Linked DNA regions of Mus musculus. The protein of the gene in region 2 interacts with the protein of the main gene of each other region in a pairwise test. Links are inferred from orthologs where the notes say so. Each region holds a gene or a part of one and is shown on either strand. Other genes may lie near its edges. The genes, in order: Nkx3-1 and Spdef.

Region 1 (16,032 bases), on a different chromosome or scaffold from region 2:
CTGCAGGCATCACTTTAGCCTTCTTTTCTTCTTCTGCTTCAGCAGAATACCTAAGGTTAGGCACTTTATAAAGGGGGGAGGGTTATTTGATCTCATGGTTTTGGAAGCCCCAAGGATATGAAGTCAGCCTTGGCTTCTTCTGAGGCATTCATTGCATGGCAAGAACATATATGAGTTGTCCCATGGAGAAATAGAAAGCAAGAGACAAGGGAGGGGCTAGGATCACTCCTTTTGGAAAACCCACTCTCTTGGGAACTAATCTACTCCCGTGAGACCTGACCTTCACTTACAAGACAGTAATAATGTATGAGTGTTGACCTCTTATGACCTAATTACTTAATTGGACCTAACCTCTTTTGTAAAAAAAAAAAAAAGCTGTCATATTTAGTTGTGTGTGCGCGTGTGTGCCTGTGCATGTGCATATGCCAGAATTTATGCATATGTGGAGGTCAGAAAACAATTTTCAGAAGTTGCTTCTCTCTTTCTGCCATGTGGGTCCCAGGGATCCAGCTTGGGTCATTAGACTTGATAGTAAGCACCTTGACCTGCTCATCCATCTATTGGCTCTGAACCCCACCTCTTAATGGATTGGTCCCTTCAAACCTGAAAGACCAGGAGCTAAGCTTTCTCAAACACAAGCTTGTGTGGGGCATACCATATCCAAACCCTAGCGTGTGTCTTATAGTTGTTCAATGAGAAGATGAGACTACTGTCCATGCCTTTCCTCTTTATTCATCAGCTCCCAGGAAGGGTCCTCCCATTATTGAATTCAATAGAAACATGGAGAGACCCATCAGATAAAGGAGTCTATCCTAGAAATTGATTGGCTGGATTTTAAACTCTGTATATTCAGCTTCATCTCTCACTCAGCACAAGCTCAGGACACAAGTGAAGAATCTACCTGGAGTCTCTGCACAGGGGAGGGGAGGCACTGTGGGAATGGGGGCTCCTTCCGTCTCCTTTGTAGACTTTGGATCAGCCTTTTCAAGGGCTACTTTGTCTGGGAAAGTCTGCAGAGGAGCCAAATGTGTGGCTAAACTAGGAGTCGTTTGTGTCCCAGGACTCTCTTGTTTATGCCCTTTCTCTTGCACAGTAAATTACTCTTGGCATTGAGAAAACATGCTTTGGTGACATGTTCCTGATGGCCATGGGCGGACCAGAGTCTGGATGTCTGAGTGTAGAGGCTATCGCTCCAAGCCCAGCAGGATCTACCTGACACTGAGTTCACTAGTGTGAAGAGTGTCAGAGACGGTGGTGGCCCTGAGTGACCAGCAAAAGTGGATTCCATGGTGTACAACAACGTCTTCCCAGATGGAGCCAATGTACTCTTGACCGGCTGCTGAGGAGACTGCCAATCCATATGTGACCAATGTGACAATGATTGGTCACAGTGTCCCTCATTGGTTCCTTGCTGTATTCACAAAGAAACTGCATTGTTCGAGGTTCCTCCCCACTTCAGGATGCAGCTGATGCTGAGGTCAAATGTCCCATCCTACTCTTTTCAAAAAGAGACACCGTGGCTTTAGAGCTTCGACTCAGAGTTTTTCTCCTCAGCCCTGCCAGCCTTGCTTTCTTCCTGGTACATCTGCCAAGACCCTCAGGGTCTCCACGAACAATTCTCCATCACAGGGCTTGTTTCCAGGCCACCCAAGCTAGGGGACCTCCCTATAGATGCTTTTTATCCCAAGTTTGCTTCACTGTTCATGGCATTAGTATCATCCCAAGAAAAAGGGATTTGATGTGTGTAGTTAAGAAGAAAATAAATCTTGTTGGCGTCTGACACATATTCAACTTTTTGGCCACAAAAGGCTTCTAAGGGATGCCTAGGAGCCTGTGGATGAGAAATTTCCACAGGAAGTAGACCAAAAGGCAGGTTGACAATGTATTTCAAGTAGCATGACTATGTGGCATGCCAAAGGAACTAACTTCTGGAGAGAAGGCTGTGAGATTATCAGATATTAGGAAATGTTGGAAACAGGACAAAAAAAAAAAGGCAAAGGGGATTTTCTTTAAAGATAGGAGACTTTTGTTTAATTTCCTGGATTACTTTTAAATGGTTTACTTTTTCAAAAAGGACATCTGTTAATTTGCAGCAAGAGGCTTTGTAATTGGAGAGCTAATACCCTTCCCTGGGACAGGAGGGTGGCTGTAGATTTGTGCAAATTAAACCTCATGCTTCTTGCCTGCTACAAGAAGCCCCACCTGTGTGTGCGATGTACTTAAAAGATTAGGGCACACTTTGAAATTATGGTATGGATTGCCTGAAGTAGGCACCTTCCCCTTTAAGCTTTTATTTCCTTGAAGGAGGGGCAGAGACCACCAGCTCTCACAGGCCATCAGACCCAGGAGGCACTTACTTTGTGTGGTTTTAGGAAGGCTTAAATGCTGGGGATGAGGTGTGCAGTTTATGTGTATTAGTTCTGTAATACGACTTATCCTCAACACTTGTGGTCCCATTTCAGATGAGCTTGGGCACGTTCAGGGTGGGTGGGCAGGCTGTAGACTAGCGATCCCATGTCAGGGACATCGCTTACATGAAGCTAATGGGACTCTGGACACAGGTGACACGTTTAGGAGTGAGGGAGCCAGGGATTATAAGAAAAGGGACGTTTTGAAAACTGCTGTGATCATCCTGTTCCCTCAGGGTCACTACATACGTGAACAGTCTTCAGTTACACGCGAGGTATTCCAACACGGGTGCAGGTGATGAGTTATAACTTTGAGACAGGCTCTCATGCTGTCAGGTTGGTCTGAAACTCACTGTGTAGCCAAAGAATATGGCTTTGAACTTCTCATCCTCCTGCCTCCGCCTTCTGAGTGCTGGGATGACAGGGACAGCAACACCACTGCTGTGGGTGGAAGTTTAATACAGGCAGACCTGTTTTTTTCCCTCTCCTTGATTTACCAGAATGGCAGGAGAGGTCACTGCGAAAAGAAACCCTCTTGGCTACTTGCTGAATTGTTGCTTTGATTGATTTGTGTCTGTAACTTGTCAGGCCAGCCAAGTGTCCTGTGGGAACATGGCCACCGTGAAAAATGCAAGCTAAAAAGAAAACCCATTTGCAAGAATCTGAAAACCACACGCAGGTGTCTAATAAAGACATAGAGGCTTTATTTTAAAACACTCATAGGTTGCAAAAAAAAAAAAAACCCGTAGAAAAATAAAGTTTTGAGTGGAGTACTATACTAAATGCCAAGTGACAGACTTTTCTGTTAGAGCCGGGGTTTGCTAACTGATTGACGAAACAGGACAGAGATATGTCACCCAGGTGATACCCACAGCGATACCTTTCCCATTCACAGGCTGGAGACAACAGGCCACGTTTCTACCAGTTCAGGTGTGGGTGAATGGGTAGTTCCAGTATGGAGAAAGCAAAATTGAGTCAGACTTCCCCAACATAATTTTAAACACAAGCCTTTCCCTTTCTGACTTTGCCACACACTGCACACTATAATAGTTCAAACGTAGTGAAAGTGCACGCTGAAAAAGATTCTAGTCAGAGTGAGAGGAGAGAAAGTACTGATAGGGAACTCAGAGCCAAAAGACGGATAGAAAGAAGAGAACTGGACTCCTCCGGCTTTGGTATGGTCTAACGCTACCACAGTGGTCAGCAACAAGGGACACGGAACAATACTTTAACATGGGGACCCGGGCTGTCAAAGAACAGGGTGCAAGCCGCCAGCTTTCTATCAACTTCCTTTGGCAGTTTTGCCACCAACAGTAAATTGGCCCATTTAAAAGGAGGAAATTAAAAGATTTCTCACTGTATAGCACTGAGTGGTGGGATAAAGGGATTTCCTGGCCCCAGAAAGTCTCATTTGTTATAAGTGTGCTCTACCTCCTTTATCTCCCATTCGGCAGGTTACCTGAGATATCAGGATGGAAAAGGGAAGGTCAACCAATTCTCTTTTTCACTCCTACCACTTTAGGGTAGTTCCTAAGCATAGTTCTCCAAAGCATTTGCGCGTGCATGCGCGCGCGCACACACACACACACACATCTGTGGATGGAAGCCTCGGTGAGGTTGTATTTTGAAGACAGTTTACCTCTCCTTGCTGGTTAGCTTGGGCTGACAGCAGGACCCCTCCATCTCCCCCAGATCCCTCAGCAGTGCCAGCCCTTCCTTTTGTCCTGTTCTTCCTTACACATGAAAAACAAGCACCCCTAAACCACCTCTGCCTACAGGGATCCCCAGGACCCCAATGGGCATCAGCCTTTGAACTGTAACACAGAGCTAGCACACAGCCCTGCGAAAGAACCTGTCATCTTCAGCTCTCATGTCTTTAAATAGGGCTTGGGATTTAATGCTGAGTATTTTTAAAGGAAAGAGAGAGAGGAGTTGCTAGGTTTTTTTTCTCTCTCTAAAGTATGTCATATTTTTAAAGGGAAGAGATGAGTTGCTCATTTTTTTCTTTTAAAAGTATGTCATAATCTGTCTGTAGCTAGTTAAGTTGTTAAACCAAGAAAGGTAAACCTTGGGAGGAGGTGGGAGCAAATCTTACACGAAATAAGACAGGCACAGATGAAAAGCATGAACGGAGAGGTCCTGTAGGAAAGAACAAGAAATAAAAAGGAGGGTTGGAAGGTCCTTTGTTTAAAACTAATGGCACCTCTGTCATCACAAAGTGTGAATTTTCAGGCCAGGGAAGCTGCAGGCCCTCCTGAGTCTAAGCAGGAAGGGCAGGAGAGTCCTTTTCTTCCCTGCTAATATAAAGTCCTGATGGAAGCCGCTCACCTGGCGTGTGGAAACCCCATAGGCCCATGTCTTGGAGAGGAAGTCTGTTTTGCAGCCCACCCCTGCAGGCAAACTGTTTACACAGCTTGTCTTAACCCCCTCCGCGTGTGTACCCTGCCACACTCAGGCTGCCCTGTAAATCCTTGGACTGGCACATCACTGTGAAAAGGGTAAGTTGAAAATTCCACCTTCCACCCCCTTCACGTTCTATGCCAACCTGCCTCAATCACTAAGGGTCACCCCCTCCCACCCCCATTCTTCAAATCTTCCGTTTACCCTCATTTTTACAAGGGCAGAGAGAAACTCTGGCCAGAGTCCAAGGCCAACAGGAGACCCAAGTTTAACTCAAGAGGAAATCCTCATCTAAGGGGCCATCCCTCCCCTTGCTTGGCCCTTCCATGATACTCAGTCATGGGAGAGGATGGAGTTGCCACAACAGAATTCCTAGGAACGATATAGCCATTGCATCTGTAGCCATTCTAAGTTCTGGAAACAAGACTCAAACTTGCCTGGCTCTCTCTAAACAGGGGAGCGGGCAGCAGTCACCTACAGGACACTTGGAACTGGGACTACATCTTCAAATAGTCACTGCCCCAGATCTTTCACCTGCCCACCAGAGAAGAATTGGAGTGTTCCCTGGGAACCCCCAACAGTTTGCATCTGTACATTTCTTGCTTCCGACTCCTTGACATCAGCCACTGTGGCTTTTTCCCAGAGACCCCCAGGGAAGACAGTTTCTGATATATGCAGTTATCAGCAGAACTGTTGCTACCAGAAAGATGGATGCCAGCTGCCCAGACAGTACAGGTAGGGGTAGTAGGGATAGCTAGTATACACGGAGACCAAGGAGGTACTGGGCAGGCTGTCATCTTTCAGGGCTGGCAAAGACAATGGTGAGTTCTTCTCCAAGACTCCCAGGTCTTCCGACAGCTGCTTTCGCTTGGTCTTATAGCGTCTGTTCTGGAACCATATTTTGACTTGGGTTTCGGTGAGTTTGAGGTTCTTGGCCAGGTGAGCCCTCTCAGGGGCAGACAGGTACTTCTGATGGCTGAACTTCCTCTCCAACTCAATCACCTGAGTGTGAGAGAAGGCGGCCCGGGAGCGCTTCTGTGGCTGCTTGGTGACCTGGGGGGCACTTGCTAAGTCCCCTGGATTATGTTCACAGTCCAAAAGATAAGTCTCAAAATGTGCATCTGGAGAAGAACAGAAGGAGAGAGGAAAAGTTACATGTTAGCTCAGAATTCAAACCACCTTTTTGTTTTCTGCTAGTGAACAAAAAGCCCACTGTCATCTGGATACTTTCACTTTGTTTGCAAGACTAAGAAACTACCCTGAAGAAGTGAGCAGGCTTTTTTTATACTATGTATTTGTTTCTAATAATCAGTGTGAACTACATTCAGGTCTTAGCGGTTTACAGTTGATCTTTCTGCCTTGTTGTTTTACATCAGTGAAATGTGGATCCTGGATGTGTGTTGCAAAGAGAGGTGGGTAAGGTGCCAACAGGGAAGACGGAGGCATCGTAGGGACATTGAAGTGGGTGACTGAGATTTGTGGAGATGAGCCAGGTGGCCTGGGATGGTAACCAGTTCATCTCCTGCCCTAGTCCTCTTCCTGTAACTGTGGCTTAGTCACCAGCATGAAAAGTGGTTGGGGCCGGAGGATAAAATTGGACGCGATTCTATTTCTAAAGACTTAAAAGAACATCCATAATTTTATGGCTCGTGGAATGGAGACGAAGGGAACTTAAGAGTGGGCTTGATTTATGAATATTAATGGTTATCGTTAGTTCTAGTAGCCAGTGGTAAATGTCTGCAGCCGCTGGAAAAGAGTCAAGTCGATGGCAAAGTTATTAGTTGCTCTCAGGGTTGATGCTCAAGGTGGCTCGGTGGGGCGGACAGCGAGGTCCTTTCTGTGGCCATGCCCCCACCCCCAACCTCAGGATTCCTGCATCCAGAGCTCGGGGCCATTAGCCCAAGAGCGGTCCTTTCCTGTGCATGGTGCTCGCTTGGTCTACTCCGCTTACCAGACTCGGGTTCAGTCGGTGTCTCCGCGGGGCTATGCCGGATACTTGGTGGGTCCTCCGGAGCCACGCCGCGACCCCCTGCTTTGTCGGGCTCTGGAGCGGAGTCCCTCCTAGGGTCCGGCGAGTGCTGCGGATTGCCTGAGTGTCCCCCGTGCCGCTCCGCGCGGTCCCGCAGGATGTCCTGGATGAGGAAGGAGGTGAGCCGCTTGGACTGCGTGGGTGGCGCTGCCCAAGGACTGCGGCCACCCGCCTCCACCCGTGGCTCTCGGGGCTCCGCTACCCTAAGCATCCCTCCTCCGCTGCGCGCCGCTTTTGCTATCACCGGGCCGCGCGCACTTATAGCCATGCTGAGCGCCGCGCCGCCTGCCCATTGGCCGCGGGGACACGGCTGCTCCCCGATTGGCTGCCGCGGGCTCCAGGTGACCCTCAAGGGGCGAGTCCTGGGCGGATTAGGCTCCAGAGCCCTTCCCTGATGAGCCCTTAACCTTTCCTGGTTTCCCTCTCAAGCCCTTTGCCAGAGAAGCCACAAACGCCAAATTCTTACTGGAATCAGAACTGAGCAGGCAGGTCGCTTCCACCTACCCTAATTGTGTTCAGATAGTAAGAGAGACTGATAACAAAGCCAGATCTACCGAGTCTAAGTTGATCCTAGGTCTGACAATCATGCTCATTATGGTCCCACGCTGGACTCCCAGCTGGACACATCTAGACAACCAGCAGAAGTCTATTAGGGAAGGTCCAAGTAGTATGACAGTGTCTCGTTTACTGAGTTGACCAGGTAGTGTAACACCAGGAAAGAGTATTCTTAAGAAATAAACACTCGCTGGGCAGTGGTGGCGCATGCCTTTAATCCCAGCACTTGGGAGGCAGAGGCAGGTGGATTTCTGAGTCAGCCTGGTCTACAGAGTGAGTTCCAGGACAGCCAGGGCTACACAGAGAAACCCTGTTGAAAGAACGAAAGAAAGAGAGAGAGAGAGAGAGAGAGAGAGAGAGAGAGAGAGAGAGAGAGAGAGAGAGAAGGAAAGAAAGAAAGAAAAGATAAATAAACACTCAAGCTGTGTGTGGGTGACATTTCTTTAATCCCAGTGAAGAGGGGCAGAAGTAGGTGGATTTCTGTGAGTTTGAGGCCAGCCTGGTCTATATAGGGATTTCTTGGACAGCCAGGTCTACATAATGAGGCCCGGTCTTAAACTAACTAACTAACTAACTAACTAACTAACTAACAACTAAACAACTGACAGCACACATGCACAAACCAAACTAATAAAAGAAATGAACACTCTAGCCCAGGCTCCCCATGTCTGTCACTTAAATATCACATGGTTCAGAACAATGCTTTGGATTGCTAAATACGATCTATCTGATCAAAGGAATGTGCTAGAATACAACATTTGGTGGAAACCGAGGAAAGCCTACGCTGATTTTTTTTTTTTAATTAATGGATGCAATTAGAGTCTGTTGTGGTCTAAGGCACCAGGACTCAACTGGAATCTGCTCTGCAGGGAACCTTGTATTTCTGGGGAGAAAGAAAGGGGGGCAGGCCCTTGAGAATACAGCAACTTCGGAGGGAAACTGGGATGGATAACCGGAAGGCCTTCAGAAAAGCTCTCTTCTGCATGTTACCTGGACTTATTTTCCTTTAAAATTTAAATATACATTTTTGATATAGTTACAGGTTCATTGGGAATTGCAAAAATAGCAACTCCAATGTCCCTCATTGTAGTATGTATGTATGTATGTATGTATGTATGTATGTATGCATATAGTGTGTGTGGGGAGTCTTCCTCCAAGGCCCACACATAAATGCCGTTCCCTGCTGAGGTAGTTTGGAGAAGTTTTGGACCTATAAGGGCTGAAGCCTAATGAGAGGTCCTCAAATTGTTGAGGACATAGAGATTGTAGCGCCCCAATTTTCCCCCCTCTCCTGGCCCTGGTGTATGGATTTTCCCACCAGCCTGTGCTCCTCTCATGTTGCACTGCACCCCCCATTAGGCCCCCTAATTTTGGACTTGAAGCTCTAGACTCATAAACTAAAGCAAACATCATTTTACTTAACCAGTCTGTGGCTGGTTCTTGGTGGGAATAACAGATTTAATGCAAGTCTCCTTTCTCTACCCAGTGGTGCAGTGGCTATGCCAGACCACGGGTGATGGGTAGTTCCTTTGGATAACTAACTTGGTCAGAGGATTAGTGAGGCTTACCTGTGGGTGTGCCTGTGAGTGTTTCCAGAGAAGGTTCACTGGGGCAGGCGGGGGCAGGCATCTGCCTTAAATGGGTAGTTTCATTTCAAGGGGGAGAAAGCAAACTGAGTACTGGTGTATCCCCATGTTTCTTGGCTGACTGAAACGACTGACTGAGACGTGACTATACGACTGACTGAGACGTGACTATACAGTCCTGTGCTCCTCTCAAGATGGCAGACTATACCCTCAAACCACCGGCCAAGGTAAACCCTTCCTTCCCTAAATTAATTCTGTTGGATATTTGGTCACAATGGTCAGGAATTAAAAAAAAAAGATAGCTGAGACAAGAGATGCAGAGTGACAGGCCTAGCCGCTCTTCTGTGTGACTGTACTGCTGTTTCCACAGGCAACGAGTGTCAGATATCTGAAACCTTATTAGCCCTGGCCATTCTCTTTATTTCAGCCACTAACATTGGTACAGTGCTATTTCAGTTTGGCTTTAGTTTTTTGAGTTTGCACTTGACTGTTAATGATGTTGATTTTGGCCGGGCACAGGTCTTCATTGATGAGACAGTCCTAGTCTCAAAATAAATCCCAGAGGGCTCAAAGATGTAGATGCAAACAGGCACACAGGAGAATTTCTTTTTAAAAAAAAATCAGGCTCGTGAAAGAAATGCAAATCAAGGGGCTTGAGGGATAGCTCAGTGGAACTAGAGCTCAATTCCCAGGATCAAGCATTACAACTGCCTGAAGTACCAGCCTCAGGGCATCTGATGCCTGACCTCTGACCTCTGCAGGCACAGATATGCAAACACACACATATTTTTAAAAGTAAATAGCATTTTTTAAAAAGAGAAGAAATGCAAATCAAAGCCACATTGAGATACTCCTTTTTTTAAATGTATTTATTTTTTATTAGATACTTTCTTTACTTAACATTTCAAATATTATCCCTTTTCTAGTTTCCCCTCCGAAAATTCCCTATCCCTCCTCCCCCTTTCCCCCTGCTCCTCAACTTACCACTCCTGCTTCCTGGCCCTGGCATTCCCCCACACTGGGGCAGAGAACCTTGGATAGTCATTTCTATGCATCAGATTGGGAAAGATTTTCTTAAGGTGCCATCCAAACAGTGAGTAACTGCTGTGGGCGGAAAATAGGCCGATTTACATATTTGGTCGGTATCTGTTTACATTAAAAATGGACATATCCTTCAACCCAGCTAGTTTGGCTTCTGCCCTGGAAACTCATAAATATACAATGTACTGACTTGGGAACCTGGTTTTGGTCACAGACTGGTTCCAGTTGCAAACTGAGCTGTAGAATCAACTGCGCGTGTAAAAGGGTGACCACAAGTGGTCCGTATCATTTGCACGCAGACATGCACATATATGTATTCAGTAGGACAGTGGTGTCTGCTCAGTGAGGTGGAGGCAGGCTGAGAGAAGGGAAGGAGGGGAGGCTAACAGGATCTATTTGTTTGCATTCATGTGTGGTTCTTAAAAATTATAAATCTAGGGTAGGAGAGATGGCTAAGTGGTCAAGAGTGTTCGCACTGCCAGGCATAGTCATGGACAAGATTCTAGCTAATAGGAATTGGCCAGCCCGGGGGGTGGGGGTGGGGGTGGGGGTGCATTCCTCCACTGGAGAGCTCTAAGATGTTAAACTATTATAAAACAAAAAATTCTCTTTAGTAAGATGGCTAAGTAGATAAAGGTATTTGTTGCCCAAGCCTGCTGACCTAGGTTGGGTCCTTGGAATCTACATAAAAGTGGAAGGGAAGAATTGCCTCCACAGAATTGCCCTCTGACCTCCACACACGCATGCTGAGTGCCACGCGCCATCACGGCTGATGACATCACTTTCTCGGTGTCTGCCTCCCTCCCTGTTACAATACCTCTCAAGAGGACTTTCTAGATTTGGTCTCCTGTGCATACATCATGGTGGGGTGTTTTCTGTGGAGATCCTTTGCCAGTCCAGAGACTAGATAAGACAAAGAAGGGAGTGGGGGTCCCGGGAGAGAGGACGAGTCACAGGAAGCACTTGCTATCTGTACCAAAGAGGATCCAGGCTGCCACTGCTGCCTGAGAGATGCCCCGCCCCCACCCTCCGCACTCAGCCACTTCTTTTCTCCTCCTTCTCTGTTCTTCATAAGAGTTTCACCGTGCTGTCTTCTTTTCTCTTTTTGTATCCCTACTTCAGACCTTTGTTCTAGTCCCCAGTCCCCACTGAGAGAGGATGTGCTGCGATGTTTCTGTCAGCAGAGACACCCCCCCCTCCGCTGCCCCATCTTCCTCAGCATCAAAACAAAACTCCAGGCACAGTGTCAGGCCCTTGACTTTCACAGCCTGGGATGGGGCAGAGAACATGTTCTCTGGTTTCTTGGGTGCTCAGCAATATGGCGTTGAGACTTGTCCCTTTGCTCTTTGGGGGAGGGGGTTGACCTGGAATACTAAGTTTTGGGGTCTGTGTCTACTACGTTCTTGTGTATATTCTATTACATCAGCAGGCAAAGCCCAAGACCCCAAGATTAAGGCGCTGCACCTGCTCTGACTTCTTGCTTATTCATAACAAGGCAGACAGTACAATAGAGATGTAAGGAGGGAAAGAGGGAGGGATAGAAGCTGCAGCCAAGCTTATCCAATCAGGAACCCATTTTCCCACCAATCATATTAGCCCATCCCTGAGGGGCTTCTAGAACCTTCAAAATCTTCTAAGATTCCCAATTATTCCTATCGTTACCACGGCAATGACCTTTCAACATGAGGACTTAAGGGGGCATCTAAACCATGGTATCTTGAGAGGACAGAGATACCACCCTGGCCCTTTACAGCACGCTGCCGGTCTCAGGATCCTGGACCCTGTCAGACTGTAGATTTCTCCTCAGCCAGCCTAGGTGGGCATTACAAGTCTTCACATCTTGCAAGGTCCCAAGCAGTACCTGGTGCTGCAGCAGGGCACCCGCACCTCTAAGGGGTGGGTGCTAAGATCCCTGAACAGCCTGCAGGGGGGACTCTGTCTATAAGGAGTAGTGAGGTGAGATCCCTGAGCAGGTCTGTGAGGGAGCGAGGGTGTGATGTGATTGGGGTGGTGGCTATAGTAACCCCAGATCTCCAGACATGTCTTGAAACTCCACATGTCCCTCATGCCTGAAGCTCTAGCTTCACCCAGAAAGCAGCCAGGCTTCCTATCCCACACCTGCTCCAAGGCTCCTCTCCCTCTATCCCAAGGCTCTGTGAACCTCCGAGCATCGGGTACTGGGACTGTTCCCACCAGCTTTCCCCTGGGCCTCTCTGTATGGCCCTGGGGATCAGGCTTTGGAGAACCTTGGTGGGTAGCCTTATGATTCGCCTCATCTTGTTCACACTTAGCACCCAAGAATAGCCACGGAGATTCATTTAGCAGTGGGAGCTCAGTAGTATTTTGCTATTAATACAATAGTGCCCCGGTGACCAACCACCCTTTCTCCCCCTCCACAGCTGCTGGGCCTGTGTCTGCAGAAGTGTCCCTATCCTCTGACTGGGTGGCCGGACATGATCTGTTGAACAGCTTAGCAGAGACCCTCACCTGGGAGACACATTGGGGATGTTTGTCTAGAGGAGGGGCCTCTGACCTTCTCCCTGCTCTGGCTAGCCCTGGCAATTCGATACCACCCCTCTGCCACTGTCTTGTTCTGAGAATCTCCAATGACGCTGAGGAGGTTGTGAGAGCCTTGCTTACCCTACAGTGATGGTAATGATCATCAGAGGGCAGGTGGCCAACTAAGAAGGTGGCAGAGGGGGTTCTTAGAGATGGCACCGGGAAATGGGACGATGACACGACACTGCTTGGTTCAGCAGAAAGTTCTATCTGCTTTGAACTAGACCAGACCTACGGAATCTGTGGGGCTGTCCCAAAATAAAACTATTTCATCTTAGTACTGAGTCATCCAATAGATATCTCCCCAGATTCTATTTTGAATAACACAGCCTTGGTTCATAAGACAGGTGTGGAAACTGCCAGCCATGAGCCGGTATTGTGACTGAGTGGAGGCCTGACATTCCCAGTGATGATGGTGAGACCGGCTGGGCTGGGCTGGGCTGGTGTTTGGACAGCTTGGAAGGGAAGTGGCCACCCATGTTGGGGTTGGATAGAAGGGCAGATCCTCAGGACCACCCTGTAGCAGTGTCCAGGTCCTGTAATGTCTTAGGACAGAGGACACCTTGCATTCTGGTCATGTGTTTATCCAGGGCCCGTTTCCCCATGGGAAGCTGGAGAGAGGATTGAGTCAGAGAGCAAGCTGAGAGGCAGGGTATAAACAGGAAGTGTGCCATAGTCCCACTTACACACACACACACACACACACACACACACACACACACACACACACGAGAGAGAGAGAGACAGAGAGAGAGACAGAGAGAGAGACAGAGAGAGAGACAGAGAGAGACAGAGACAGAGAAAGACTTAGATATGAGCCTTAAGGCATCATATTGGAAGTAGGGAAACTGAGGTCTCAAGAGACTTTCCTGAAATCGCATACCAGTGACAAAGTCAGAACTTTGGCCACCAGTGCACAGGCTAGTTTTCTTTCTTTCTTTTAAAACACTCTTTTGTTTTGTTGTTTGTTTTTAGTTTTTGTTTTTCTCTTTGCTGAGTTTTCATTTTGTTTTGTTTTGTTTTGTTTTGTTTTGTTTTGTTTTGTTTTTGAGACAGTATCGCATAAACCCAGCTTGTCTTTGAATTTGCTCTGTAGCTGACTGTGACTGATCCTTGTCTCTGCTTCCAGAGTGCTGGGTTACAGGCAAGAACCATCACACCTACCTTAAATGCTCTCCAAAGGGAGGGAGGGAAAAGAGGAGGGGTAGCAAGTAGGACAGAAAAGGCAAAGATTGTTGCTATTATTTAATTCCTTTTTACTTTTCTAAGGGAGAGATAAGTAAACTTTTGGGCTGGATAGATGGTGCAGTGGTTAAGAATGCTTGCCTTTCTTCCAGAGGACCTGAGTTCAGTTCCCAGGCAACAATGTGCAGCTCCTAACTGCCTGAAACTCCAGCTGCAAGGGATCTGGCCTCAGAGGACAGACAGACAGACAGGCACACACACACACACACACACACACACACACACACACACACAAAGAAGTAAAATGTTGCTATCTCAGCTAAAGTATTCTTGACAGAATTTAATATTTTTAAGTGTCTATGAGTGTGTGTGTGTGTGTGTAACAGAGAGAGACAGACAGAGGGACAGAGAGACAGATAGAGGGTACAGAGAGACAGACAGAGAGAAAGACAGAGAGGTTGCACACATACCGTGGCATGTGTGTGGAGATCAGAGAGAACTCTTCAAACCTAAGATTGAAGTCAGGTCATCCTGTTTGAGAGGGAGGGAACCTATGTTCTCCACTGGTGCCTTGTGGGTGTGGTTTAAAATGTTCTCCTACGTGTGGGAAGGCTGGTGTCCAGCGTGGCAGTGGCAGGGAGAGGTTGGTAGGTTGTTGAGAGGTGGCAGGTCCCTGGGACTCAAAACAGGGAACACTGGTCTCATGGAGTTTGCTCCTGGGAGAAGGCTGTGAAAGAACAACTGACACACACACACACACACACACACACACACACATTCACACATACTCACACCATACACATACTCATACACACACACTCACACCATACACACATACACACACACACACACACACACACACACACACACACACACACACCCTCACCCTCACCTGCACACACACACACATTCAAGGCTGGCTTCTGCCTCACCATAGGCTCCTACCATGTGCCCATCAATCTCATGATGCAGCCTGGGGCAGGGCCTGAGAGAGCGCTTGCTAGAGCAAAGAGAGATACCCGATCTTGGATTTTTAACTTTTAAAAATGTAAGCTTAGTGAACTTCTTTTTACACCATTCAGTGTAAGGCATTTTGAAACTGCAACCAAGAGACCCAACAATTCACCTGCTTCTTGGTGAAAGAGCTAAGCCAAACTCAACACTCAATGATATCCACTCTCCAAGGCATCCTAAACTCCGGGAAAGAGAGGCACTTCTGAGTCCAGAACAGTTCAAACAGGAAGGACCTCACAGGAAGACGGTCCTCCCTTGAAGTGAGTTTGAGTCTGGACAAGAGAAAAATAGAAGGGTATAGCCGAGTTGTGCTGATACACACCTGCCTCTAATCCTTGGAGGCAGGGCAGGCTGATCTCTGAGTTTGAGGCCAGCCTGGTCCGAACAGTGTGTTCTGTTCAGAGTCCTTTTCAAAATAGTATCATTTTGCTGGGTTTGGTGGAGCCTGCCTGCCATCTCAGCATTCAAGAGGCTGAGACAGGAGGAGGTTCAAGAGTTCAAGAGCAGCATGGACCACTGTCTCAAAACAAGGATCCCCACAGCAGACACAAAGAAGAACCAGAAACAGTTACATCTTAGAATAACTGTGTACTCTTTGCCCTGAACAGAAGACCTGCAAACAAGGTTAGTGGGTTTATAGTCTAGCCTGACACATTTGTAAGGGTGGCCTTAGGTAAAGTCTCAGCCTCCCTACTTTCTTCACCTCATCAAGGATGCTTTGCCTTGCATGACAATTAAGTCTGACATCAGTGGGTGCTCAGCCCTGTTTAGCACTTAGTGTTTTCCTAGGAACTTTTGTGCCTCTGGGGTTCTGTCTTCTGGTCACACTTAGCCATCAGGAAATGGGTGGACTTCACCTGACTGAGAAGAAACAAGGAACACTGCTAACAGCCAAACCTGGAGGCTTTGGCAAAGAGGTTCAAGGATTGTGGAGCAGACCTCCGCCCGCAGGAGAAAAATGGAAGCAATGGCGTCCCCTGGTGGTCACTTGAAGTTCTGCAAGCAATAACAATTGCCTCGCGTTCAAAGCATGTTGACTTCATATGTGAAACTTCCACAGAGGTTTGTGAGATTGATTCTCAACACAGACTGCCTCTGAACGCGGACCCGAGTCTCATGGGCAACTGTGATGTTTTGTATATGTCAGACATTTTAAAGAGTCGGGAAATTCCTTATTTATCGGACTTCCCCTGTGAGGCTGTAATGAAGCGCCATGTCGAGTCAGAGAGAGGGGCACCAGGTGGGAACCCTTGGC
Region 2 (15,932 bases):
TCCCAAGGGACAGGATGGGCTGGCTGGAAACAAAACCAGTTTAACAGAGCTGAGCCTGCCTCTGGCCAGGGTCCCAGACTGCCTCTTGCCTGGGTATAGGAGACAGCTGGGGCCTAGCAAGACAGCGGCCTGGGTAGAGCCCCCACCCCATCCCAGTCCAATCCCAGATGACAGATGCCAAGGCACTGTTTGCTAGTTGTCAGGAGTAAACATTCTTCAGGAAACAATAAAAAGTGCTGGGGGCAGAAGGTAGGAGTGCAGGGTGCCTTTAACCCTTTCTGGTCCAGACAGGTGTGGCAGCACTCTGGGGGCAGAGGCAGGCAGATCTCTGAGTTCCAGGCCAGCTCTGTCTACTGAGTGAGTTCTAGAACAGTCAGTGCTACACAGAGAAACCCTATCTCAAATAAAACAAAAACAAAACAAAACAAAACAACAAAAGCAATAACACACACACACCCCCCGGGGTGTTCTAGATGGTGCTGGCTCCCTGTCCTTTCTCAGAGAAGTCTGGCCTCAGAACGTATGAGCTGTGGGGCAAGAGATGCTGAACCATTTGGGAAGGAAAGGTAGGGCGAATCCTGTCCCTGGGGCAGGATGGGTGAGTTCCTGGTCTTGCCATCCATAGGGGTTTGACTGTGAGCTAAGTGCTCAGCCATTCTGGACCTCTGAGGTAACACATGCTGAACAGGGAGGTGGCCTGGACTTCATGATTTTGTTGAGGGCAACGACAAAGGGCAGAGGGCTGGCCATAGCACGTCCTCAGGATGCTTGATTAGGGTAAATAAACCCGGGAAGTGTGGCGCAGCTGTGTTGGGCTGGAGAATGGGCAAGCTGTCTGGGAGCTCCACACCCAGGCTCGTTCTGCTCCTCACACTCCAGCGGCTTTCTTGCCCAGGTGAGGGACTCACAAGTCTATGAATAGACCTTGTGAAGTCTTGGGGGTTGGGGAGAGGGAGGCAGAAGCTGTAAATCCTTAGAGCCTTACAACGCCACTGTCCCAAAGGCTATGAATCACCGACTATCTCCCACAATCCACTATGTGGTTCAGCTTTCTTAGATAGCTAAGCAAATCCTCTTGCAGGAGAGCCAGACCCCTGGCATACCTGGGCACACCTGGGCACACATGCCAGCAAGTGCTGTCCTCTCGCAGAGCAGACAGAGAGGCTGCCTTCCTTACTTTGGGTCTGTGTATGGACGCTCGCTCTTCAGCCTGGCCCACCTCCTATGTCAGCCATGGCTGGTGAGGAGGATGAAGCATCTATCTAGACTATCCACTTTGTCCTGGAGAACCCTCTGCCTCTTCCATGACATCTACCAGACAGCTCCTGTTTCCTCTCAGGCTTGGCTCCATGTCACTTGCCTGGGTAGGCTTCCCTGTGGTCACCACCCTAAGCACTTGGAACCCCAGCCACCCTTGACTGCTGCTGGCCTCCAGTCTGTGCCATGCATAGCCAGACACTGGAGGACCTAACAGTTATCTTACGTCTTTATTATCCATCCCCAGGGCACCCCTGGCTTCCCAACGCAGGGTACAGACATCTCTTAGCACCATGCCAGATATGGTACAGGATTGTGGCAGGAGCAGAGACCAGTGACATCACTGTCCGGTGAGCTGACTTGGTCCAGTCCCTGTGTGCTGTAGGTGGTTCCCCCAGGAATTCCACAGTCCAAGCCCGGTTCCGTTTGTGAACAATCCTAGCTCCCTCGATCTTCCTGGGGCCTGTGTATGACCCAGAGAGCTCATGTGTATCCCTAGATCAGTGGCTGTCTATCTGGGACCTTGGGTTCTGGGATACCAGCAGCCCCTGAATTCAGAGTGAGCAGAGAGGACCAGGCCAACCAGAGAGTGGCTGCCTGGGGCAGGTTGTAGGCCTCTGGTCTCTGTGGCTCTCAGACTGGATGCACAAATTGGTAGACAAGGCGCTGAGAGATGTCGGGTTTACGAATGATGCCCTTCTTGTAATACTGGCGGATGGAGCGGCTTAGTTTATCATAGTTCATGGCTGGCCGGTTCTTGCGCACACCCCACAGTCGGGCCACCTGTGCTGAGTCCTCAATTTTGAAGATGCCTGGGGAGGGGGGAAGGAAGGAGGGAGGGTGGGAGGAGAAGAAGAGAGAGGAGATCAACAGATTGGTTTGGGGGAAAGCAAAGTGACAGATGCTGGAGCAGGCAAGGGACTTAACAAACCTCTCTCTCTCTCTCTCTCTCTCTCTCTCTCTCTCTCTCTTCTTTCTCTCTCTCTCTCTCGTCTTTCTCTCTCTTTCTTTCTCTCTCATCTTTCTCTCTCCCCCTCTCTCTGTTTCTCTCTCTTTCTTCCTCTCTTTTTCTCTCTTTGTCTTTCTCTCTCGTCTTTCTTCCTCTCTCTCTCTGTCTTTCTCTCTCTTTCATCTTTCTCATCTTTCTCTCTCCCCCCTCTCTCTTTCTCTCTTTTTCTTTTTCTCTTTCTTTCTTTCTTTTTTTCTTTCTCTCTCTCTCTTTCTTTCTTTCTTTCTTTCTTTTTTCTTTCAAGACACAGTCTCTCGACATAACCTTGACTGTTCTGGAGTGCTGGGATTAAAGGCATGTGCCATCATGACACCTGATGTTAGCAAATATATTTGATTTAATTTTTCCTTTTTTTTTTTTTTCCTGGACAGGGTTTCTCTGTATAGCCCTTGCGGTCCTGGAACTCACTCTGTAAACCAGGCTGGTCTCGAACTCAGAAATTCGCCTGCCTCTGCCTCCCAAGTGGTGGGATTAAAGGCGTGAGCCACCACACCCAGCTAATTTTTACTTTTCTTACTGGTTGAAATTATAACTTGTGTACAGTCTTATATCAAAGGCAGGTTGTGCATCTCTAATCTGAAATTTTGGATCAGAACTGTGTCAGAGTTTGGAGTTTTAGGATTTGGGAATATTTGACAAGCTTTTCTGGGCCAGACATCTACAATGGTATTCTGAAGAGTTTGTATTGGGGATCGTTTGAGAAATTGGGATTAAGGTCAGGCAACCTACATCATTAAAGTGAAATCCAGTTGTTTTTAAACATTTTTGACTCCAGACCTAGAATGTTTAATCTTATAATTAGGGCTCACATATTTGTACTTCTGATGGACATGGGATTCTTTAGGTTGGAGCTCTTGTTAATTTTTTATTCTCTTTTACTTTATTCGTGGTTATGTGAATGCATGTCAGCAGATAGGTCCTGGGTGTGCATGCATGTGGAGAGCGGAGGGCAATTTGCAAGACTCGTTTCCTTTCCATCCTCCAGGAATCAACGTCAGTTCTTCATGCCTGCCTGTCTGTCCTCATAGAGCTGTCTCACTGGCCCTCAAGACACGATGTTTTCAGGGGTTTTTAAAGATGTATTTTATTATCTCATGGGTATGAGTGTTTTGTTTGCATGTCTGTAAGTGTTTGCCTGGTGCTTGCCAGGTCAAAAGATCTCTGCTGCTGGAGTCAGAGGAAGTCCTAGCAGCCACGTGGTGCTGGGAACTGAATCTTGGTCCTCTGCAAGACCAAAAATACCCTAACAACCGAGACATCTCTCCAGTCCTGTTTTTTGTTTGTTTGTTTGTTTTTGACAAGGTCTCTTTGTGTAGACTGGGGTGAGTGGCATAAAATTCACCGCCAGCCTCTGCCTCCCCAGCGCTGACCTTAAAGCCACTATGCCCTGCTTGAAGCGGAGTGTTTTCCCACTCTCAGCTAATAACCTTAAATCAGTGCTATGTTCCAGTACTGTGTGGGGCCGATGGAGTCTCACTACCAGGGCAGAGTCTGGCGCAGAGGCTGAGGAGGACACAAACAGTATCCTAAACCTCAAAAACCTTGGTGCTGAAGGAGTGTGGATCTCTTGAGTGGCACAGTTGGCACAGGGTGAAGGTGAAGTCGATCTAGGCCACACCCCTACCCTGTGCCCCCTTCCGGGTGGCGCCACTTTCCTACCCAGCCTCAGTTGTAGGTCCACCCATGCCCCCTACTCCAGCACTGCTCATGCTCCTAGCTGGATTTCTGCCCTACAGAAACCCTCCTTCGTTGCGTTTCACATGGAAACCACGCCTCCGAGTAGCCCCTCCCCTCTCGGCACTCAGAGCCCCGCCCCTACGGCCCCGAGGCCCTACCTTCTCTCTCTCTCTAATCCCTCCTAACAAAGGTCAAGTCTCCTGCCAACCCCTCCCCGCCCTGGAGAACGGAGCCCCAGCCGATTCTACCTTTCTCCTTGTTGAGCCAGCGGATGAAGCGGCCATAGCTGTGGGGCTTGAGCAGCAGTTCTTTCAGGAACTGCCACAGGTGAATGGGCTGCCCGGAGCACGACGAGTCCACCTCACCATCCGTCCAGCCCTCCTCGCTGGTGGAGGCTGGAAGCCAGAGCGGGCAGGATGTATGGCACCTGCGACTACGCACTTCTCAGGGTAGCCTCCCTCAGCCCCTCCAGGCCTTCCTGCGCTGGCCCTACTCACCGCAGTAGTGAAGGGTCCCAGGCGAGGTCCTCTCCTTCATCCAGGCCGCTGTGGAACAAAATGGGGAGGTTGGCGACCCAGCAGAGGTCCCCACCCACAGCTGTGGGGCAGACCGCTCCTCACTGTGAAATGGGCAAGGGAGCCTTGAATCTGTGGCCTGGCAGTCTCATCAGGTCTCCAACTGCCCACTGCTTCCGCCCACCCCTAGGCCATCAGCCAGGGACAGAGTCCTTCTGCTCACGTCATAACCACTGGCACGGGAGACTGACCACTCAGAGAGTCACCTGAGTGCATCTGTCTCCCATTCATCTCAGACCTCTAAGGGAAAGGGCCTCGACCCAATGAGCAAGCACAGAATCCTCCAAAATTCCAAAGAGGAAAAAAACAAGCAAAACAAAAGAAAAACCCCAAGCCATCACCAGCATCAACAGCCAAAGACAGCAACAGTGCTGTCGTGTGAAGCACAGGGGGGCCAGGACTCAGGGTCAGAAGGCAGGACAATCTGGGAGAGTCCCTTCTCTCCTCCCATGCTGCTCCACATGGGGGGAGGGGAGAGGCAGACTGACTGATGCAAATTCAAGGCTAGCCCAGTTTACCGTGTCTCACCTGACTTCCAGATGTCCAGGTGGGCATGCAGTACATCCCCACCCAAGGGTGCACGCTGACGGAACTGTTCCTCGGACATGGCGCACAGCTCCTTACCGCCCAGCTCCTGGAAGGCCTTGCCTGCTGGAGGCAGCCGGTACTGGTGTTCTGTCCATAAAAGCCACTTCTGCACGTTACCAGGGCTCCAGTCCCCAGGGTCTGGACAAGAGATACACACTAGTTCAAGGCTGCTGGTGGGCACTGCCCCAAAGGTGGCCGTCTGTGGGATGGGACACCCATGAGGTTTTGTTGCCTGGGGCCATGCACTCCTCAGGGTGGGAATGTCTAAAGCCTTGAGAAGCCCATGAAGGCACACTCCACCAAAAAGGAAGTGAGAGGGAAAGACCCTAAACCAAGCTTGTTGCCTTGGTAACCCATCACATCTCCATGTCTCTCCTGCCCCCTAATGGGCCTTTCCGGAGATCCCAGCTCTAAGGAGAACAGTTACACTCAGCCAGAAACATAAATGCTTTTTTTGCTGGACACTTTTGCTTTCCACAGACTTCTCGAGGAGAAAACCCACCCAGGAACCGCTCTGCCCTGGAATTTTAGAGAGGAAGAGACCGGAGCACACAGGAGGGGGTCCAATCCTTGCCCAGTGCTTAGGAAATAGCTAGATTCTTAGCAGCTGCCCCAGCGGTTATTGGGTCAGCTAAAGCTGGAGGAGGAAGTCACCAGTGATGTGGGCCCCTGGGAAAAAGCTCTCAGGGGAGCCTAGCAGGGCACAAGGCTAGAACCAGCCTGGGTCACAGTGGCAGTGTGGCCGCCAGGTGAAGTCTGGTTCCAGCCAGTGTCCCAGCTTAGTGACCTGCAAGCTACACTGCTCCCACATCTCGAGGCCATTTTCTTTCTTCCCGAGGTCAATTCAATTTGTTTCTGTCCCCATTGTTCAGAGAGCACACCCGCCTCACCCTGGAGCTGGAGGAAGCGCCTCTTCCTCATGGGAGAGCCTTCTGGAGTGTGGGAAAGTAGAGGAGAGATGTGGGTAGGAGCTGCCTTGAATGGGGACACCACCTGGGAACATCTAGCAGACTGGGTGGGGGGGCTTCCTCACAGGGAACTATAGGATGGAGGCCAGGACTTCCTGGCCCACAGTAATTTCACCTGCACCTCTGACCCCATGATACACCCCCCCCCCAGATCAGGCACGAATGTACATGGATACACACACACACACACATCTATTCCTTGGTGTCCCTTCCTCATCAGTTGACCACATCAGAGGGCCACATTCAGCTGCTTCTTTATGATCCAGTTGTCCCAGCTCCACACACAGAGCCTGTGTCCTGTTCATTGCTTTCTCTCCCAGTCCCTGTGCAGGGAGGGCGCCAAGCAGGTGAAGTCAGTCAGTGGCCATTTATTGAGCATCTATTATGTCCAGTGCCATCTAGGTAGGAAGTGAGGTAGGAAGAAACCAAGTCCCAGACCTCCAGATAGCAATCATACCACAAGAACAAGAAAAAGGGGGAGGCGAGAGGTGAGCCGTGGGAGCCAATCTCAGCAGCTGATCAGAGGTCTCACAGACAGGTTGCCAACTCAGACCAGAGAATGCCAGGGAAAGGCGAAATAGGTATCTATGTGTGGGAAAGCATCCTAGATTGCAGGACTAGCAGGCGCTATGGGAAAAGCAGGGAGACCACGTGGTTAGGATAGAGTGAGTGACAGAAGAGGGGAGCTGAGTCCCAGAGAAGGTGGGGAGCCAGATGGGAGCAGACACTGAGTGCCCTTTATCCACTAAGAGAGGGCCCCGGGGCAGGCGTGGTTAGGCATGGCCTCTGACTCCAGCTGTTGTGTGTCCTGGGCTATCCAAGGCGATCAGAGTCCATCTAGCAGATCTCCACCCTGCCTGTATCCCTGGGCGGGCAGAGGCCCCCGGGGCGGAGGCGGCAGGGACGGTCTCACCTGCTGTGATGTTCAGAAGCTTGCAGGCCGTCTCAATATCTTTCAGGACCTCGCCCACAACCATCGATTGCACCTGCTCTAGCGAGTGCTCATCCAACGTGCTCCCAGAGGCCTGGCTGTCAATGACGGGACACTGCTCGGGCTCCTCCGGGTGGTCCTCCCCGGCACGGGCCTCGGGGACTTTGGCGACCCAGCTGCTATCGTCGGGATACATGTTAAAGTAAGAGAGGTAGAAAGCAGACAGGCCCTGCTCAGGGGTGGCGGGTGGACTAGGACTCCATTCCTGCTTCTCAGGGCCCATTGCTCCTGATGCTGCCTTCTCCGTCCCTGTTCGTGGTGCCACATCTGGGAACAGTAGCAGGCAACCGGGGGACACGTTGCTCAGGCCTGGGCTGGCACTGCCCATGCTGCGGTGGAGGCTTGGGGCTGCTTCTGCAGAAATCAGAGAAGGAAAATAGGTCTGATGGCTGTCCCGGCTCTGTGGGGGACCACTAAGCTGGTTATAGGACTCGGGACTCAGCAGGCAATGGGTTGGAGAGAGGCCAGGGGGCTTCCGGGTCACTGGGCAGTGAATGTGGCCCTGACTGGAAAAGACAATGAGGTGGACGTGTGGGCAGGTGGGAGGCACACATTTCCTTTATAAGTCTTATGTGGGTAGCACTGGCTGGCCTGAACGATCTGGTCCTCCTGCCTCTTGCATTTCCCATCTCCAGTTACCCTGTAGGACCCACCGTGTAGCTGGCTTTTGGCACCTGGGTGGGTGTGGCAAAGGAAAAAGGCCCAGTCTGGAAAAACCCTTGTGTCTTTTCAAGGGCCACAGCTAACCTGTTGGAAAATGCCCTACAATCCAGGAAACAGCTTCCTGTTCTCTTGGACTAGCAAGACTTGATAGAGTTGAGGTGAATTTTGGCTGTCCCCACCCACTGCTTGCTCAGTCCCCACCCCCTCCTTGATCAGTGCGCGCACGCACACACATACACACACACACACACACACACACACACACACACACACACACTTGCTCAGCACCCACCTCCTCTTGCTTAGTGCCCAGTTTTTCCCACCCTTCAGCGCTGCCCAGCAGGCCCCACAGGAGAGAGAAAGCCAAATGTGTTGCCTCTAGGTCCAGCCTTTCCTTTCAAAGAACTCTAAGCGACAAGGAAGAATAGGTTTGGGTGGGTGGGGTGGACAGGGGTCGGGGTTGGGTCTGGATTGATTCAAGTCCTTTTGTGCAAATATGTGTGTGTGTGTGTGTGTGTGTGTGCACGCGCACGCACACTCCACGGGACCTTGGTATTTACCAAGGCAGCTTCCATAGCCTGTTCTGTCCCCACCCTGGCCTATGCCCACACCCTATACCCCAGGTGGTGGCCCCACCCAAGGAGAGTCTTCCCCCAGTTTCCATCCCTCCTCCTCCACCTCACAATGGCCTCCTGCCCCGTCCACATCCCCAATGGCCCCATGCCTGCCACGTTAGGACAGTCTCTGCCAGCTCCCTGGGCCCCATGCCCAGCCTCTAGCTTTTCCAAGAGGCAGGAGGACTTGATTCTCTGTGGCCTTATGTTTGCCTGGCCTTAGTCACAGGTGGGAGGGGAGACGGGTGCTGGGGTCCAGGCAATGTTGCAAGAGGGGCCATCTGGGCCAGTGCTGGCCCAGGTACTATGTAATACTTCATCCCTACCGCATTTGCTGAGTAGGCTTCACAGCCCTGGTATCCATGCGCTCCCTAGGGAAGGCATCCCAAACTTTCTTCTTACCCCTATTTTACCAATGGGGCAGTCAAAACGTAAAGAAGTCTTCTGGACCCTTCCCCTGCAGAAACACCTGTCCCCCTTCCCAGCTCCCCCTTGCTCTGCTTCCCAGTGCCCAGAGCTCCCTTGACTGAATAACTATGCAGCAGACACAAAGGCTGCTCCCTGGGACCTGGTGGCTGGACTGGGGATGGGGGGCTGGCTGCACCTCTGGTCTCTCACAGCAGCAGCTGGACTAGGGCAGGAGAAGAGGGTGTCACAGAGAGTGCAGACTCTGTCATGCCAGGATGCCCACACATACACTGTGCCAGATGGTCATGTCGAGCTGACACAAGCTGAAGTCACTGAGAGGAGGAATCTTCAAGTGAGAAAATGCCTGTAGCCTGAAGAGGTTTTCTGTTTCCTTTTGGTTTTTTGTTTTGGTATTTCAAGACAGGGTTTCTCGGGGCTGGTGAGATGGCTCAGCAGTTAAGAGCACAGGCTGTTCTTCCAGTGGTCATGAGTTCAATTCTCAGCCACCACATGGTGGCTCGCAACCATCTATAGGGGGATATATGATGCCCTCTTCAGTCGGGCGGATGCATATGCAGCAGAGCACTCATACATTAAATAAATAAAGTTTAAAAAAAAAAAAAGAAAAGAAAAGAAAAAGGATTTCGCTGTATAAAGTCCTGACTGTCTTGGAACTCTCTTCGTAGACCAGGTTGACCTCGAACTCAGAGATCTGTCTGCTTCTGCCTCCTGAGTGCTGGGACTAAAGGCATCACCACCACATCTGGTTGAGTATTTTCTGAACTAGTGATTAATAGGGGAGGGCCCAGCTGATTGTGGGTGGTGCCACCCCTGGGCTGGTAGTCTTGGGTTCTGTAAGAATGCAGGCTGAGCAAGCCATGAGGAGCAAGCTGGTAAGCCCCACCCTTCCATGGCCTCTACATCAGCTCCTGCCTCTAGGTTCCTGCCCTGTTTGAGTTCCTGTCCTGACTTTTTTGATGAACAGCTAGGTGGAAGTGGAAGCCAATAAACACTTCTCTCCAGGTTGCTTTGGTCATGGTGTTTCCTCATAGCAGTAGTAACTCTAGCTAGGACAGCTACCCACAGCCTGAGCTACGTGAACTCGAGTGTCTCATCTCAGAGATGCAGATGGCCAGGCTCAGGAGACTGTAACCTGGCTGTGTGTAGACTCTGTTCCTTGGACCGCCATCTTGTTAAGGCACCTGCTCTGGCCACTTTTCTCCTTTTAGGTGTCTAGCCCACCTCATGACTGGGTCCCTTCATCTTCCAAGGTTCATCTTCTGCTTCTGGCTGCTCACTCCAAGCACTACCACGTTTGTCTCCTCTCATCAACTTTTTACCCGACTCCTCTGCTCAAGAACCTGGCACGCATGGCTCCCACTGCCTGCCTTGTCCGTGGGCTGGGATGTGGCTCAGTTGGTAGTGTTCGCTCAGTGTGCACACACACAGAGCCCTGGGTTTCATCCTCGGTCTTGCATAGGAGCTATGCGGTGATTAGTGGTAGGGTTTGAACCAGGACTACCAGTCAGCATGGTCTCCTCATATCCAGGTTTTGATAAAGCTGGGATCTCTTGCCTTGTTCCTTGCAGGGAGGCATAATCACAGCTTTCTCCCTTGTGTTATTGTCCTCTTTCCCAAGATGCCTTTCTTCCTCATCCCAGGTTCCCTAAGCCCCACCCCAAAGATCCCTTCTGCTGTCTCCCTTTCTGATGACCCACCGGTGACTGGCAGCTTAGTCTGACTACATCCTCAAAAAGCCATCAGCCAGGGGTCTCCGAGGACGTGGGTAAGGCTGAAGCTCAGGGCGTGGCTGAGAAGGACCCAGAGACACACCGAAGAGCCAGGACCTAGCCAGAGATCTCCTGACATTGAAGTCACTACTCTGTAGTGAGCCTAAGGTCTTCAAGGACCTCATGTGTTGGCCACAGGCCACCATCCCTGTCCCTCTCAACTGCCCAATGGCTGCAGTCTCCCGAGTGATGCCTGCGGTCTCCAAACTTCGAGCTGATCTCAGGGGTAAAGCCACATGTCTGGATTAAGTCTCAGTGGGGTCTGTCTTGCTCTTGCCCCAGCAGCCCTGGTTACCTCTCCAGACAAAAGGCTTGGTAACAGCTGGTGCAGGGCAAGCCAGGGGGCAGAGCCACATCAGAGAGTTAGTGGATAGGGCTTCATAGCTTGGAGTCAATCTCTCAGTCCCTTCTGTCCCCCAGGGAGGTAAGTGAGTAGAGAGCACAGAGGGACCAATGGTGGAGACTGGGTACAGCTGTTTCTTGATACTCTGTTCCCTCCAGGGTCACCTTTGTCTCCTGTGTCCTTTGTTTACAGCCAGCACTTCATCCTCAGCGAGTGAAGTTGCCCATGAGGCACTCATGAAATGTCTGGCAGCCGTGTGTTGTGAGCCCCGTCCTCTGTATCCTATTGGGTTCCTTCTTCCAGACCCCAACTTCCTAGGGATAGTGGGGTAGCATATAAAATGCCTTAGCTCCTGTCCCCAATCTTGAGGCCCAATATCAGTGGCCCAGAGTCCAGGGTCCAGCTTCAGACCCAGTGGAAGTAGCACTAAAGGACATCAAGTATGGAAGGGTGACAGAATCAGCTCCTGTAACCCCCACCCCCTGCCAGTCTCTAGTGGCCTTGGCCACTGGCTACTCCTAAGCCCTCCCAACCTCTGCATCCCTTAAATAGGCTAGAGACAGAATATGGGGCAAGGCTAGACCTGGTGAAGAGCCCTGCAAGAATGGGTATGTCCTTTCCACCTGCACCCCAATACCCACCAGCTGGTCAGCACCTTGGAGAGAGCCAGGCCAGTCTAGGTTCTAGGGAGCCCCAAGGTTACAGCTTCCTCGCCATCTCTTCAGGCCCCGCCTTCCTGGGATCCAGTAGCCTCACCCCTCACATCAGTCTTCAGGAGAACTAGACTCAGGCCTCCTCACTGCCGGCCATTCAGTGCTCAGAGTCCCAGCCTCACTTCACAACCAACCACCTACTCCCCCCAGTGTAGCCTGTGGCTGGCTTGGGCTACGCGGGACTTTGTCTTTTTAAAACAAATGAGAGAGAAGTGGGTGAGTGGAGAGACACAGCTGAGGGTCTCCAATTGTCCCCAGAATTTGTATCCACAGGTTCTGAAAGGCTCCCCTCTGATGGCAGTTACTGCCAGCAAACCCCCAGCCTGGGTGAGCCTGGGGCTTAACGAGAATCTATAGCCACCCTATCAATTTTGCCTGGCTTTCAGAACTTTCCAGAAGCTGCAGTTTACATATTCACTTGGTCTCCTGTGTGTGAGGCCCCGCCTCCCCGGGAAGCCCCTTTACTCAGGGAATTCTTGGGGTCTATGTGGCCACACTCCCGGTCTAGCAGACACACCTTCCACATCTGACCGCAGGCTCAGGATTCAATGGCCTCTCACTGTCCAGGGAGCCTAGGACAGGAGGAATGAGGAGGCAGGGACTCAAGACCCATTCCAAGACAGGAAGTGCCCTTAGAGATGTGCACTCATGCGGGGCCGGGAGGCGGGCCTCTTGCTGCCCGTGAGAAGAGACCCCCCCCATCCTGACCTCTGTCACAGCCACATCCTGAACCCCAGCTAGGAAGTTCCTTTGCGACATCTCAGCCTTGGGTGGGAGGCTAGGGGTGCCTCCAATTTGGAAGAGCCCGGGGCAGGGGAGGGTGTCTCATTGGTTTTTTGTTTTGTGCTGGGAGAGCATTGTCCCAGGGCCCCTGCTGCTGGTGATGTCACTGGCTGGCCAGGAGTGATCAGAATGAACGGTGGGAGAGCTCTAGCGGGTGGTTGGAGCCCAAGAGCTTTAAATGTCAGCAAGGGCCCAGGGCTATGGTGCCAGGATTTGCTCTGAGAAGAGCTGTTCTACCTGCTCAGCTGCCTGTGGGGGCTCTGGGGCAGGCGAGGGGAACGTCCCAGGCCAGAGCTAAGCCCCGCCTCCTGGTCGCAGCTCAAGGTTTCTTCTGGGACAGTTTGTGCTGTTTGTTAAACTGTGGTGGGTGGCCTGGCTCAAAGGGCCTGGAGTACTGAGCGGAGACATCAGCTCCCAGAGTAGTGGCGGAGCGTGCTTGAATGTGCACCGGGAACCCGTGAAGGGGGAAACTGGAGAGAGAAGAGGAAAGGAGAGGAGGGAAGGATGAGGGGGGAAAGGCAGTGGTTCTGACCAAGTGAAAGAGGTTTGAGGGGGGACGCTAGGCTCCCTGCCCCTCCCCCATCCTATCCAGGTCTATCCTGGTTACTGGCCTCCTCCACAGCTCCATACTTTCTGTTGGAAGCCAGAGGCAGGGATTCCTGCTCAGTGTGTGCCCTCACAAGCCTAGGAAACAAGCTGTTACATCCAACCAGCATTCAACCAACTCCTCCACAATGTCTCATCCCCGCGTGTCCCCGTTGTGATGCCTCCCTCGACTGAGGAGACAATCTCTGCTAACCTTCTCATTCAACAGACCAGGAGCTACAAATTCACCCCATCTTGCTCTGTAGGCCCAGCTCGGGTCTTCTGGCCAGCTGAAACTGACCCTTTCTGAGTTCTGCCCAGGCCACAGTAAGCCAGTCAGCATAGATTCGCCTGTGTCTGTTTCCTGCCGGGCCTATCGCTTAGAAGCCACTGGACATCCATAGGGTGTAGCCCCTTTGTTTCAGGTCAGGGTGACAGGGAAGTCCCACCTGACTCACAAGGTCCTTTGGAGCATAGGTGACAGGTAAAACTTGCATGAACAGAGTGTTCATCTCTGGGCATGCAACATACCTGGACAACTCACAGCCTGGCTCCCAGACCCATCCCTGCCCTTCCTCAGCCTCCCAGCCCTGTACGCTGGGACGGAATGGGGTACTCCTCCTGAGGCAGAAGAAGCTCAGCTTACCAGAACTGTCCACACGTTGGGCAGTACCTGCATGCTGTGCCCTCTACCTGAGGGGAGGGGGGTGAGGGGGGAGATCCCTGGGGCCTGTTTACCTTGTTACTCAGGGGAACAGCTGGTATGGAGTGCTGCACCTTTATTGGGGGTTGTCTGGAAGCTGTTTGCTTGGGGATGGGGGTGGGGACAGGAAATGAGCTGAGTCTGTCTCGGCCAGGGAGAAGGGGTCAGCTATGGAGGGCTGTGCCTGTATCGGGGCTTCTGGATCCTTCTGGGAGTAGAGGCAGGGAGGTCTGCCCCTGCCCCCCCATAGCTCAGGCAGCCTCGGGGGCACCCACCCTATCGTCCCTCCCCACTCCCCTTGCATCTTTCCTCACTACAGGAATCTGACAAGCCTTGGAAATGAGAGCCTTGGTGGCCAGTGCCTTTGCTCAGCAGGTGAAGGCAGTTGTCACCAAGCCTGAGCCTGCGCTCAGTGCCCAGGACCTTCATGAGAGAAAGCAAGGAACAGCAACTGGGCATGTTCAGGGGGCAGAGGCAGGTGGGTCTCCGAAGGACTCCAGGCAACAAGCTGTCCTCTAACCTCTACGTAAACAGCCCTAGCCCTGCACACACACTCTCAATGCAGATTTTGTTGTTGTTGTTTTGTTTTGTTCTTTTTTGTTTTTTTCGAGACAGGGTTTCTCTGTAGCCCTGGCTGTCCTGGAACTCACTTTGTAGACCAGGCTGGCCTCGAACTCAGAAATCTCCCTGCCTCTGCCTCCCAAGTGCTGGGATTAAAGGCATGCGCCACCACACCCTGCTTGATGCAGATTTTAAAGACCCAAATAAGCAGAAATGGTCCCTTCTGGGTGAGGGATAATGTGAATTTAAGACCAGCATGGACCATGAGACTAAGTGCTGGGCCTCAAACACCTCAGAGACACACAACCTGTCTCAAAGGCCAGCCACTATGGCATATACCTTTAATCCCAGCAACCAAGACAGAGTCAGGCAGATCTGTGAGCTGGAGACTAGCCTGGTTTACATAATGAGCTAGAGGCCAGTCTGGTCTACATAGTGAATAAGACCATCCTCTGAATAAACACCCCCCCCAAAATAAAATAAAAATAGACAAAAGAAGAGAACTGAGTGCCTCATGACACCACCCCATACATATGCACACACATATATACATACACACATATATACACACATATACACAAGAACACATGTACACACACATACACACATATACACATACAAACACACACATACACACATACATACACATACATACATTCACACACATTCACACACATACACATTCATGCATACACACACATACACACATTCACACACATACACACATTCACACACACACATACACACACACATTCACACACACATGGTTTTCTTTGTGTGTCCAGACAAAAGATATGGCCCCTCTTGCTTATCCAGTGCCTATGTTTACTCTGTGGTGCCCCCCCTCCAGACTGCTAGTCTGTGCTACCCTGCTCTGCCACTTTCCTGGGCTCTCCACCTGTCTCTCTTGCTTTTGTCCATGTCGTGAGCCTCTGTCTGTCCATGGAGGCCAAGCCAGAAGACACTTGCTCCTTCCCTCTGGCAGAGCAGCCCAGGTGGCAGTGGCCTGTGGTCTGCCTGGGTTTCACCTTCAGGGCAGAGCTGACCCGGCCCCAGGGGAGCTAGCTAGACATCCACATGGCTATTTTCCCCTCAACCTGTGTAGGAGGGGCTCTGTGCCAGGCCCATGGACATGGGGCCCCCAGAAAGAAGGGGTGTCCCATAGGCTCTGGATCTGACCCAACAAGGGATCTGGCAGCATATGGAAAGAACAGGACTCAAGTGTCAGAGTTCCTGGTGTCGGGAACACAAGCTTGCAAAGCACGTCTCCACTCTGTGTCAGCCACCAGCCTCCCACAGGTGACAGGGAACCCCACGGAAGGGCGTGCTGGCTCCTACCACACTCACCCGTTAGCCGCCTGCTGTCAGAAGAGTCGTCCGTCCTCGGCAGAGCCAACCTCAGGGACCAGGAGGAGGCAGTGGGCAGGCAGCTCAGGGTCACTGCTGGGTCTCAGTCAGACATCAGTGGGGCCAGCAGGGCTGGGGACAGAGGTGGCTCTTAGGTGGGCCACCAGGGCCTCTTGCCCCTTGAGTGTGAGTCTGAGGCCTCAGGCCTGCAGGTCTATAGGCAGGCCCCTGTCAGAAGCTCAGGGCCACCTGCTGGCACCATGACAAGGCCCAAGCTGGGGGTTCTCACCGGGGCAGCAGCGGGCTGGGGTGCTAGGTGTGGGAGGCAGAGCGGACAGATGGACGGAAGGCAGAGGG

The links.
Region 1: the proteins of Spdef (region 2) and Nkx3-1 interact in a two-hybrid assay, tested with the Homo sapiens proteins (2 studies listed by BioGRID). The link is inferred for Mus musculus from reciprocal best matches to the Homo sapiens genes SPDEF and NKX3-1.

Annotation. Positions count from the first base shown.
Region 1 is NC_000080.6:69,181,721-69,197,752, reverse strand, and holds Nkx3-1 (homeobox protein Nkx-3.1), read right to left. Parts: upstream 7,062-16,032; 5' UTR 7,049-7,061; coding exon 6,760-7,048; intron 5,930-6,759; coding exon 5,505-5,929; 3' UTR 3,095-5,504; downstream 1-3,094.
Region 2 is NC_000083.6:27,712,978-27,728,909, forward strand, and holds the end of Spdef (SAM pointed domain-containing Ets transcription factor), read right to left. Parts: 5' UTR 15,576-15,932; intron 13,654-15,575; exon of another isoform or gene 13,611-13,653; intron 7,420-13,610; 5' UTR 7,394-7,419; coding exon 6,988-7,393; intron 5,245-6,987; coding exon 5,047-5,244; intron 4,489-5,046; coding exon 4,441-4,488; intron 4,339-4,440; coding exon 4,192-4,338; intron 2,070-4,191; coding exon 1,891-2,069; 3' UTR 1,470-1,890; downstream 1-1,469. UniProt on the Homo sapiens protein: May function as an androgen-independent transactivator of the prostate-specific antigen (PSA) promoter. Binds to 5'-GGAT-3' DNA sequences. May play a role in the regulation of the prostate gland and/or prostate cancer development.